Linked DNA regions of Drosophila melanogaster. The protein of the gene in region 1 interacts with the protein of each later gene in a pairwise test. Each region holds a gene or a part of one and is shown in the gene's direction. Other genes may lie near its edges.

The links. Proteins that work in one complex are often made in the same cells at the same time.
Region 2: the proteins of slx1 (region 1) and mus312 interact in a two-hybrid assay, tested with the Drosophila melanogaster proteins (2 studies listed by BioGRID).

Annotation. Positions count from the first base shown.
Region 1 is NT_033777.3:4,640,045-4,645,173, forward strand, and holds slx1 (nuclease slx1), read left to right. Parts: upstream 1-1,918; 5' UTR 1,919-1,951; coding exon 1,952-1,964; exon of another isoform or gene 1,965-2,356; coding exon of another isoform or gene 2,357-2,384; intron 2,385-2,524; coding exon of another isoform or gene 2,525-2,614; intron 2,615-2,706; coding exon of another isoform or gene 2,707-3,203; exon of another isoform or gene 3,204-3,248; intron 3,249-3,499; coding exon 3,500-4,380; 3' UTR 4,381-4,592; downstream 4,593-5,129. Other genes in the region: CG9775 (uncharacterized protein), read right to left, coding at 1-178; MED31 (mediator complex subunit 31), read left to right, coding at 2,357-2,384, 2,525-2,614, 2,707-3,203; Dlip2 (dorsal interacting protein 2), read right to left, coding at 4,740-5,032. UniProt on the Drosophila melanogaster protein: Catalytic subunit of a heterodimeric structure-specific endonuclease that resolves DNA secondary structures generated during DNA repair and recombination.
Region 2 is NT_037436.4:7,327,589-7,333,995, forward strand, and holds mus312 (mutagen-sensitive 312), read left to right. Parts: upstream 1-1,543; 5' UTR 1,544-1,650; coding exon of another isoform or gene 1,651-1,775; intron 1,776-1,840; coding exon of another isoform or gene 1,841-2,002; coding exon 2,003-2,049; exon of another isoform or gene 2,050-2,100; intron 2,101-2,127; coding exon 2,128-2,651; intron 2,652-2,710; coding exon 2,711-3,643; intron 3,644-3,703; coding exon 3,704-3,748; intron 3,749-3,804; coding exon 3,805-5,705; 3' UTR 5,706-5,883; downstream 5,884-6,407. Other genes in the region: mrva (minerva), read right to left, coding at 1-740; CG42307 (uncharacterized protein), read left to right, coding at 1,651-1,775, 1,841-2,003. UniProt on the Drosophila melanogaster protein: Regulatory subunit that interacts with and increases the activity of different structure-specific endonucleases.

The DNA of each region.
Region 1 (5,129 bases):
GGAGCCTCTTGAATTCATTCAGCAGCCTAGAGTTGACCGCGGACATTCCTTGATTTCCGGCTCCGCTGCTCACAATGCGGCGACTCCTGCTCCTGGAGCGGCTGCGACCGCGTCCCTGTGGCGGCTGCTTTGACTGCATCTGCGTAAAGCGCTCGTTTAAGGAGATTCCAGTGTTCATGATTGTTGCGGCTTTGCTTTTATAAATTGATCCTTATAATGTATGTTTTCACTGTTCTCCGCTTGACTCTTGGACGATCGAGTGGGTGTTTCTGCGCCGAAAACCGGTTTGCAACTGTAATGGAAAGCAAAAATGTAATGAGTTTTGTAGGCAGTCAGGTACGCCAGGACGACCCCCGGACAGGTAGTGCCAGCTGACACCCATAAACGCTAAGCTCAGACAGTTCTTTAAAATATACCAATAAATCTGCAGCTGTTCCTATGTGGAAAAGCCAACCGTTGGCTTTACCCCTTATGCACCCCCGTAAATAAAGCCGTGGTCATAGTTACAACACTAAACATTTTAATATTACCTATGAATTTTCCCACTTAAGAACATTGATTCATTTCACATGTATATAGGAAGATGTTTAGGAGTAAAGATCACTTTAGTCAAGAGTCGCGACTATGAGATACCCAGCACTCAGCGAAGACATTTATTTGATACGTTTCTAATAATCCTATTTTAACTATTATGACAATTGTATGGAACTACAGTGTTATATGCCAATTTGGGCGTTGTAGATCGTGGTCAGATCGACCAGGCCATTGGTCCGGATCGAAGAAACATTTACATTATAGGGTCGGAATCACTTTTTATACCAGTTACACACTGTACACTTTTCACTCTATAATACTGTTTTAGGTAATGGTCTATTTATCTCGAATTTAGATGTACGAATTAGTGTGGCAAACCAATCGATCAATTAAAATTGCGACTGTGGCTTGCCTAAGCGGACACAAAAGAGACTTACATTCGTAATTACATTGAAATGATTCAGAAGCCTATCAAGAAACAATCTTTGGTTCTATTTGGACGGCAGCTGTGCTGTGCTGTATAGATACATATGCACATATGTACATATGTGTACATCTGTATGCATCTGTATATGTATATACATTTCGGAGTTGTATTCAAGCAGAGCACACTGTAATCTAATAATAGATTCTTCGCCAACATGAATTTTTTGTGGATGATGATTAACCCGTCGAAATCGGGGAAATAGTTGGATATACATATATAATGTTTCATATGCACTTAAATTACATAATTTTGTTAATACTTACATTTCTGAATTGTGCGTCGCTGCTTCGCTTGTTCCTCAGCACAAAAATAGGTGCGGGGGCGTTCTGTCCACAGATAGAAATTAGTTTCACTCGTTGATTTCTCGTTTATTTAGCCTAAACTACGACTTTTTCAGTGGCTTGGTTCCGATTAGATATGTTTTACAGACGAAATTCAAGTTTTTCCTCGCTGCTTTTCAGGCTGACAAAAAAATCAGGCATTGTTCTCCACAGCGTTCGTCGTAGGCTTGTGAAAATACCGAATTAAATGCGCATCACATTAGGGGTAGTGAAATAAATACTGAAGGCTACACACAATTGTTAATTACATATTATAATTAAAAATTGTCAATGTTCTGGTCGGAATTTTATATTTTAATATAAATTTTAATTGTTTTATTATGATTATTTGTAGATACCATTGATCGCTGTACTTCTTGATACATACGCTCAGATTTGTTTAAACTTACTCTGGTATTAAAGATTTTTGTTGGTTAAAACAACCCTAATTCTAATTTTTAACACAGAAACATTTTCAAGAATACCGTTAGCACACACCAAGTAAAATATACGGAAAAGCAGTATTTTACGAAAAAAAAATCGTATTCGGATGAGCTTGCAGCCCTGGCGGGGACAGAAGTAGGGTTGTCGCCGGCCATCAACAATCCAAATGAACTCCTACGGTTTGTAGACAATATTAAAAACTGAATTTAACTGCCTTCCCACAAGAAATCACCAACACAAAGGGAGCGACAACCCACCGCCTGCGCCCAGAAACCTGGTCGACTGTTTTCCCGAGTTTTCTTTTGGCCCACAACCTGCGTTTGCTCTGTGCAGTCACTGCCGCGCCATACATTTTATTTCATTAGCGAAGCCCATATATATTTATAATTTTACTTGTGTGTTTTGTTTGCCGCGACGTTTCGTTTTCAATTCGATGGTGCACCAAAACACACAGCTCAGAACATCCACATAGCACACTGAAAGAAACCAAGAACCCAACCCGACACCGAAACTGAATAGACGCAAGTACCGACCCAACGAGACCCTTTCCAAAGCCAAAGACCAGTCCAAAATGGCCAAAATGTACGGAAAGGGTAAGAGTAAGTACACGCCAATCCACACCCATTTTCGCATTGTAATCTAACACCTACTGACACCGCTTGGCATGCCGAATCCTCAGAGATCTACCAAAAGTGGTGCTAATTTCTCAGGGACTAATGCTCTCCAATTTCTTCCGTAGCTGCTATCGAGTCGGAGGAGCTGCAGAAGCGACGCTGGCAGATCGAGCTGGAGTTCGTGCAGTGCCTGTCGAACCCCAACTATCTAAACTGTAAGAATAATATTACCTCGACCTACCTAATATTCACTTATTCACCATCTTGCGCGTATATCTAAATAAACAATTACAACGCCTTGTGCCAGTCCTTGCACAGCGTGGATTTTTCAAGGACCAGTCGTTCATCAACTACCTGAAGTATCTGCAGTACTGGAAGGAGCCGGACTATGCGAAATACCTCATGTACCCAATGTGCCTCTACTTCCTCGATCTGCTGCAGTACGAACACTTCCGCCGGGAGATCGTCAACTCGCAGTGCTGCAAGTTCATAGACGACCAGGCCATTCTGCAGTGGCAGCACTACACTCGCAAGCGCATCAAACTGATCGAAAACGTTACGGCCGCCCAGCAGCAACAACAGCAGCTTCAGCAGCAACAACAGCAGGCGAACGGCATGGAGGCAGCAACGGGAGGCGAATCAGCAGCACCTACCCCCAACGTGAACGGGTCAGCTTCCACGGCGGATAGTCAACAGACGTCTTCTGCCCTACAGCCTGTCCAAGCACAGCCTGGAAATCCCCAGCAGCAGCAGCAAATCAATGGCGTGGCATCGGGGGCCAACATAAAACTAGAGTTAAACTAGCGCTGGCAACTAAAAGTTTACCAATAAAATAGTATAAGAACCTGGAACAAGTTATTTTGCATTCCATTTATTATCTTCCTTTTTGGCTGAGAAACAGCTACCACTTAACACACCTTATTTTCTTAGCTATTTTAGCCAAACTAAAATTCTAAAATAATTTTATTTCTTTTTTTATTTTAGAAAATCTTGAAAACCTCATCTCATTGCTTTAGTTAGGGTGTCGCCTCCTTTGTCGTTGGTTTTTGGTTGCAGACACAAAGCAAGTTTCATTAATCTATCTGTTGGTGAATTCACAGACCCACAGGACACAGCTTCTCAACAGGAGGAATCCGTCGCGCTGAAGGGCCACTTCTACGGCGTCTATTTGCTATGCAGTCAGAGCTTGGATCCTCGCTACCGGGGAAAATGCTACGTGGGCTTCACCGTGAACCCCAAACGGCGGATACGCCAACACAATCTTGGTTGTGATTTCGGTGGCGCGAGGAAAACCAGTCGCAAAGGGCCGTGGCTGATGGTAATGATCGTGCACGGATTCCCGAATAATACAGTGGCACTCCAGTTTGAATGGGCTTGGCAACAGCCGTCGCTTTCAACTAGGCTTAAAATGTACCCTGAATTAAAACGAAAACTGCCCAGGGAGACGTTCTTTGACTACAACTTTAGGATCCTTAGTAATATGCTGGGGGTTGGCCCTTGGAATAGATTACCGCTCACCGTTCGCTGGCTAGAAACGGATTACGAGAGGCCATTCAGCAAGGCACTGCCTAAACACATGGAAATTGTGAGTGGCAAGGTTTCCATTAGTGCCTCACAACGTAGGAGACCTGATGATGCAGTACCTCCTCCACCTGTGGCGTGGGCTTCCGAGTGCCACCTTTGTATGCAGGAAATGGAGCAACCGGAGAAATCCCGCCTGGGATGCACAAATCAAATGTGTCGGCTGACATGCCATATGGTGTGCCTGGCCAATTACCTTCTGGGCGACGAGCCAGGTCATTACATCCCAGTTGGAGGAGAGTGTCCGCTTTGTGAGACTCGTCTCAGCTGGGCAGCACTGCTGCAGCGCAAACGTCTTCTTTTGGGCGTGCCTGAAGAACTGCAGGATCATGACGAGGATCTGAGCGACGACATTGATGTAGACAGCGATATTGAAGATACCCCGGAGCTCAGCGATTAGTTGAGGACCCATTTCATTTTATTTACAAATGCTAAGGTATCGCATAAGCTAAAAGTATCTAGGCAAACACCATCTTAATGCGCTTGTAAAAGTAAACATTTTAACTAAATACTTTAAAAATATTTCCAATAGATAATACTGAGTATAATTTAGATTTGTTTGCGGTATTTAAGGTTTAAACGAAAGAAATTAAATGCTGAAATTTAAAGTGTAACAAATTAATTAATATTTATCAGTATTTATTCTCCAAGTATAATAAAATAAATTATTAGGTTTGTTTCCCAATTCGTCAGGTGCTTTTAAACTAAGATAACGTTCAGTAAATTGACAGAAGAACAACATGTATTACATTGATAAAGTTAAAGGTCAAGGTGGGAAATATGTTTCTTAATGCTTCTTAAAGCATTTTTATAGTCTTGCAAAAGTTTAGCCATTTTCCGCTTTTCCTGCAAGTAATACTCCATAGACATTTGTACGTACTCCTGTCCCTTGAAGTTGAACACAGACACTTCAGTAGTATCTATATTGTCGGGTTCTGCTCTAACTCGGCCTGCATTCGGATTGGGTTCCATTTTCACAGCTTCCTTTAGAGCAATGACAATGGAAGATTCCTTCGGGCGCTTCTGCGGTGGACTATCGTGGACTGCGTCAACTGAAAATAATGTTAAAGAAGTTAATAAAGCATTAAGATGCAACACCGACATGATGAATCCAACCCGCTCTATTTCGAAGGCCCGGTGGATTTATAG
Region 2 (6,407 bases), on another chromosome or scaffold:
TCGGCCCTCTTGTCCATCCAGCCGAGGATGAGGGCACAGGTCATCGACATCACACAGGTGAGGGTAGCCAGCAATAAGACGACGCCTAGAGCGGTATGTCCCTTGTAAAAATTGCTCACATACTCATAGATGGGCTGCATCACCCAGAAGTTGACGGTGCTGCCGAATCGGGCAACCGACAGCTGCAGGCCGAATACCATGTTCAGTTCCTTGCCCTTAAACCAGAGCACCGCATAGCTGTTCTGGGCCACCGCCAGTGATTCGGCGCCAATGCCGAAGATAAACCGTCCCAGGATCATCATCCAGAAGGCGTCCAGAATGCCGCCGCAGGCAAAGATCAACTGACCCACCAGCAGGATCATCATGTAGATAATCGTGCCCAGTCGAATGCCAAACAGTCGATCGATCAGGAAACCTCCCACGAAGCACAGGACGACATTGGGCCACGAGTAAATCGAGTAGATGAGTGTGAACTGGGCGGAGGTCAGATTAAGATCTTTCTTGAAATAGTTCTGCAGGGCGCCGGGTGCATCGTAACAGAAATAGGAGCCGAATCCCAGCAGGCACATGAACACCAGAGCCATGAACCGGTGGCTCGTGCTCGAGGGCATGCAGCAGCCGCCGGACGGAAGGCTCAGTTCATTGTCACGCCGACCGGCCCGACTGACCACTTGGTCCTCCTCCGTCGGTCGCGACACCTCCTCATTGTCCACGATGCGTTCCTCGTCCTCGCGCGCCATCTCCACTCACCGCTGGCACAATCCGCACTGACCAGTTGGATGTGGAGCCGAATCCCGCAGAATGGGCGTATGCAAAACTATGTGATATGATTAATCGGCTTTCTGATTTCCTGCCGCAGTTGTTTTTTCTTTTGCTTTCGTTTTTCTCTTTTCGTATTTGCCGTTTCTGCAAAATATTTGTATCAATTTCTGCGAACGAGTGAGCGAGTTGAACTCTTCTGCTTTGTCTTGGCTTATCTCGCTGCTTTTGTTTTTGTTTACTGTACTAGTACCCTTTGTCTAACAACTATTGTTGTTGTTGGCTGTGTGGGCTAGTTAGTTGTCTCTGGGTTCACTGGTTATCAGCAGTTTTTCCACTCCACTTGCAGCTGAAGTTCGCAGTGCGGTGTTGGGCAACAAATGTTCGGTGACGTGTGCAACCGCACTTTATTGCTGATCGAATAAAACTAAATTCTTTCCTCTGCCTAATTAACGTTAATTACGCATATACAATGGCGGGGCTGCCAACTCGCTGTAGAGCAGGGTTGTCGACGCAGCTACAGGTGCATTCGAACAGCTGGCAGGCGATAACGATCACAAATATGAACGGTATTCCTGTTTTGCTCTCCATTATAATCGAAAGTTTACTCTAATTGAAATGCAAATTTTAGTAAGCCATGATTATTTATATAATAGAATTATATAAATAAAAATAAAAACGCTTGATTATATTAATAAAACAAGATAATCATTAATTGAGAAACTATTTAAGTACAAGAGCTCAACGACGCAGAAATCTCTTGCATCTTGTTTTGATTTAATTTAGTATAGCCTGACAACCCTAATCCAGCAACGCCGAGTTGAAGCATGTTTTCATACTTTTTACCGGGTAAAATGTATTTAATTATATAATTCAGCGGCCCTTGCAGCAATGGATCCCATCGACACCACCAAGCGAAAGCCCAGACGCACCTACGGCACGCCATCCTACACGTATCGCAATCGATTTGCCTATGCCCTCTTGGCCGCCGGAACTGTGCTCTTCGGCATTTGGAGGTGAGCAGATCTTCGAACTTAACGTATAAATGTGGTTTTAATGCTTGCCACCGCCTCGTTTTCAGCCTGACTCCCATCCAGCGCATTGCCAACGAGAAGCTGTCCCAGGCGGTGGCCCAAACCGAACAGGAGCGCGATAGGAAAGGACTCTTTGAGTTCGGCGCACCAAGGACTTCGCAGTTCATCAGGGACGCCATCAAGGAGAGCGAGGAGCAGAGGAACAAATAATGGATCGCAAGACGCGGCGAGCCAACTTCAAAAACCTGCAGCCTCGGTAATTTTAATTGAAATAAAGGCCAATAAAATGAATGTCATTATCTAACCGAACACTTTGTTTTCCTTTCATCCGAAGTTTGACGCGAAGCACCAAAGCAGCCGCAGATACATTATCGTTATCCAACTTCTTTGCCACACCCGAAAATGCTGAAGAAGTTCCGTCATGTCTCGCCGACATTCCTGTTCAGCCCGATCCTCCTGCGCCAAAAATCAAACCAATACGCACCAGCAATGTGTTCGAAAAACCTGGGCCCAAGCCCAAAAAGGCACCCAAGCTCAAGGCCAGCACTGTGTCAACGTCGAGTGGGGCGCGTCGTGGACGCGGAAAGAGCAAACAACAGCCCAGTATCAGCAACTTTCTACGCAACGAGCAGATCTTCGCGGAGGTTACCGCCCAGCATTGCATGGCGGACAACTTTAGTGCGGATGACATTGAAATGGCGCTGGCGCTGTCCAAATCGGAGAGTGAGAAGCATGGACGCCTTCGTCTGCATGACGATGACGATGCGGTGGTTGACCTACTGGATGATGAAGAGAAGTCCACTGAGAGAATACGTCATAAACTGCAGAAGTATGGCTTCCGCACAGCCGCCAAGGAAGGTAAGTCATCTTATAAAGTGTAAACGGTAAGATTGGACTTACGTTTTATCCCCATTTAGATTATAAATCTCTGGCGGTCCTGCCCGTGGTGGCCAGCAAAGGAGGTAGACGTGGCAAGTGGGCCAATAGGTTTACTTCCCTAACTTTAAGAAATCCGGATGTGCAACAGAAGAAGCTCGAGGAGAAAGTGTCTGCATTGCTTGGCCAAGAAATGCGCGGCAAGGAGCCCAACGGGGAAGACTGTTGTCTGACACCATACACTGTGATCACCGCAGCATTGAAGGAACTCAGAGCTGAGGGTGAATCTCGCATCCTTCGGGAACCAAGCGAAGGGCCCATAGATGACCTAGAATCATACTACGTAACCGACTTGTTTGAAGTTAGTCGCACGCCGGCACACCATCTTTTGAAGAATTGGGCAGCGATACAGGGAAGGGATTTTTCGCCAGAGCGTGAGACCCAAAAATGCCGCCAATTAAGGCAACAACATGAGCTTGTCTACGCTGAGTTGGAAAGGTACTACGGTGATCCACAGAAGTTAGAAGAGGAGGTGATGCAGGAACTGGATGAATTGGAAAAACTGGTGGCAGATAACATGATCGAAGATGATTCTGTAGTGATAAATATTGTGGAGGCAGAATCATCGTCGACTGGTAGCAGTCCATCAAAGGAGCCGCCGGATAAGCGTCCAAAAATGACAATGGAAGATAAGGAAAACCTGCAGCCAACAACATCAAAAGCCAGCTTGACTGTTCCCGCCCAGTCAACCCGCTGCACCTCGCCGGATCTCTTTGCGGACTCCGAAGATGAGCCGGATATAGTAACGACTGCTATATCCAATGAACCCGAAGACGTTAGGAATCTTTCAATGAAAGTTTACAAGAATGTCAGCATTAGCGAACGATCATCTTCGGTCGCTGAAATAGAAATTGTGTCCAGCAATGATGAACCTTCTCAGATAACCACGTATGAAGTGTTTTCCAGCGACGAAGGTGAGAATCTCCATTCATATAGACAGCACACCCCTTAAGAGTATTTCAATTTGCTTTCAGTAAAGACTGTTTCCAACGCTACGCAGGAGAAGATTTCTTTTGATGGTGAGTAAACACAGAAAAGTTCGATACCAAAATCTCATTCATATTTTAATTTCCAGACAAACCCATAGATGACTTTATAGACCTAACACAAGAGTTCGATATGGTAGAATTTAATGAATCAAAGCCTAGAACCCCAAACTTAATTGCATCATCGGAAACAGATTCCAATGTAGACAACCTAAATGGTGATACAATTCTAGATTTTAGTTCCCAGGAGGTAAGTTGTCCCATCTCCAAGGAATTGTACGCAAAGTATGCCAAGGTGGAAACATTCCCTGTGTGGAATGCAGCAGCAGAAGAGGAGGATAAAATTGAGTTTTCCTTAAGCATGGAAAGAGATTTGAAGAGTTCCGAGCAATCGTCGCATCAGCTCGGCATATTAACCACTCCAAATGACACCGAACACAGTTCAAGCTTCAGTGAATTGAATTTCTCGAGGAACTCGCTTCGGAGGAGCGTTAGTCTATCAACGGATCTCAGTTTCAAAAGTCCGCTTAACTGGAAAATGAACTCATCAGCCGAGAAGAGGGTCTCGCCGGCTGCTTCTCCTTACAAACAGTCGGATGCTAGTGTGGACTTAACCCAGAACAGCGATGACGAAAACGACGCAATTCTGCTCTCCGACGAGGAAATCAATTACTCCATTTGGAAGGGCAATAAGACCGTAAAAGATTTGGATATCGGGGACGATAGCTCAGACAGTTGCTTTGCATCTCCGGTGACGAAAAAGCGAGCTATCCCACAGTTCCAAACTGAGGAGGATCTGGATGCCTTCTTGATGGACTTTTCCACGGATGGCAATGGATCGCAAGGTTCACATTCTCCCAACAAGAGTGCTCTTAGCAAGGAGCGTGCTGAATTCGGAATACTGGATGCTGCTCCGTCTCAACCCTTCAGTCTATCTGAACTTCAGAGTCACGCCGACAAAGAGAAGTCATCGGATAACGAAATCAACTGGGCAGAAGCTTCATTTTTGGATGCACCAGCAAAGCCATTGTCACGCAGGAGCAGCCACAAATTTAATGAGCTCTTGGCGAAAATAAGCAAACCAGCGCATAACTCTGGCGACGACTTTGACGAATTCGATCAGATGGTTTTCCAAAGCACCAAGGAAGCCGCCTCCAGTGCTGGCGAAACAAGTGACATGCCTCAGGGATTGGACCTTTTGTTGAAGGGAGAGATAAAAACGACAGCGATCCCGGAGACAAGAGCTCCAGGCAACCAAACTCCGATTGAACCGCAGCAAGTAGATGTTGACGGCAATGTCTACTCCGTGCGTGTTTGTCACACACCTAAGCCAGATTTCGCCACCCTCCCGGAATCGGAGATCCTCCAGCAGCTCTACAAGTACGGCATAAAGCCACTAAAACGCAAACAGGCAGTGAAAATGCTCGAATTCATCTACAATCAAACGCATCCCATAATGAAGACAGCTGCTGTTCAGGATTTACCAGCCAGATCTGAGCCAATTGTGCGTTCCAAGTCAACTCCTGTGATTATGGAGAGACCACATTCGCAAGTAGCAAAGTCAACCTCTAAAACATTGAAGGCAATTGGGACAAAAAAGGATTTAACATTTAACGATGCCACGGGCGAGGAATTGCTGCGCTTTTCCCAATCCCTTGCCCCGAGTCTTTGCGATGACTTCGAGACCTTTGTCATGCAAACGAACGTTACCAAGAAGACACCACAGCCGCTGGTGCCACTGCACATCGCCTGGCACAATCTCATCTGCGCCAATCCCCAACTGCACGAAAGTGTACTCACGTACGAACCCATTGATTTGCAGGCAGTTTACTTGCACCTGAAGCACATGGGGCATCGATACGATCCAAAGGACCTGAAGACCTTCTTCGACCGGCGTTGCATTATCTTTCGCTATGAACTGGGTGCTCCCGGCAAGCAAGCAGAGCGTCATGTGCGAAGGCACACAAAAAAGCCTTCTAAAAGGAAGTAGATTCTACAAGTTATGGAATTTCATTGTACTTATACCTAACTTTGAATGCATTGAATTATTTTCTAGTATTTACCTTATATTGTATTATTGAATAAGATATTGTTACTTGGTATTTTGCGATCTAAATTTATTGTATGTAAAATTGATAAAACTCAAATACATTCAACACTTTTGTTTGAAGCATTGTTAACCATTCCTATTTGCCATTTCAAGCTACCCACTAGCATCTACGATTAAAAAACACAATATTATTTTGGGGGCCGTAGATTTATTTGATGCAACTTCAAAATACAATATTACAAAACTAATGGACGAATACAAATGTATAGAGTTTGTAGTAGATACAAGACACTGATATTTTCATACGAGTAGAATATTGGACAACATTAAATGCAGCATCTGTAGACAGACTACCCTAAATGGGTATTAAATGTAAAAATACAATTCGATCTTACGGCGCTAGAAAAGACACTTGGACGGTATAAATTTCTTACGAGTCTCTACGTGAAAGGCACATTGTCAGATTGCGATTAATGGAATGGAATCGGCTCGAACAAAACTGGTTGCTAATGAAACTATTTGTACTGCATGCAAAACTGATATGGTTGGTGGGTGCAGACGGGTTAGTGGGCTCTTACAGTAGCTAGGATTAGTTTTGGGGGGAGAGAGATATATAAGAAGCAATTCGTAGCATTGCCGGCA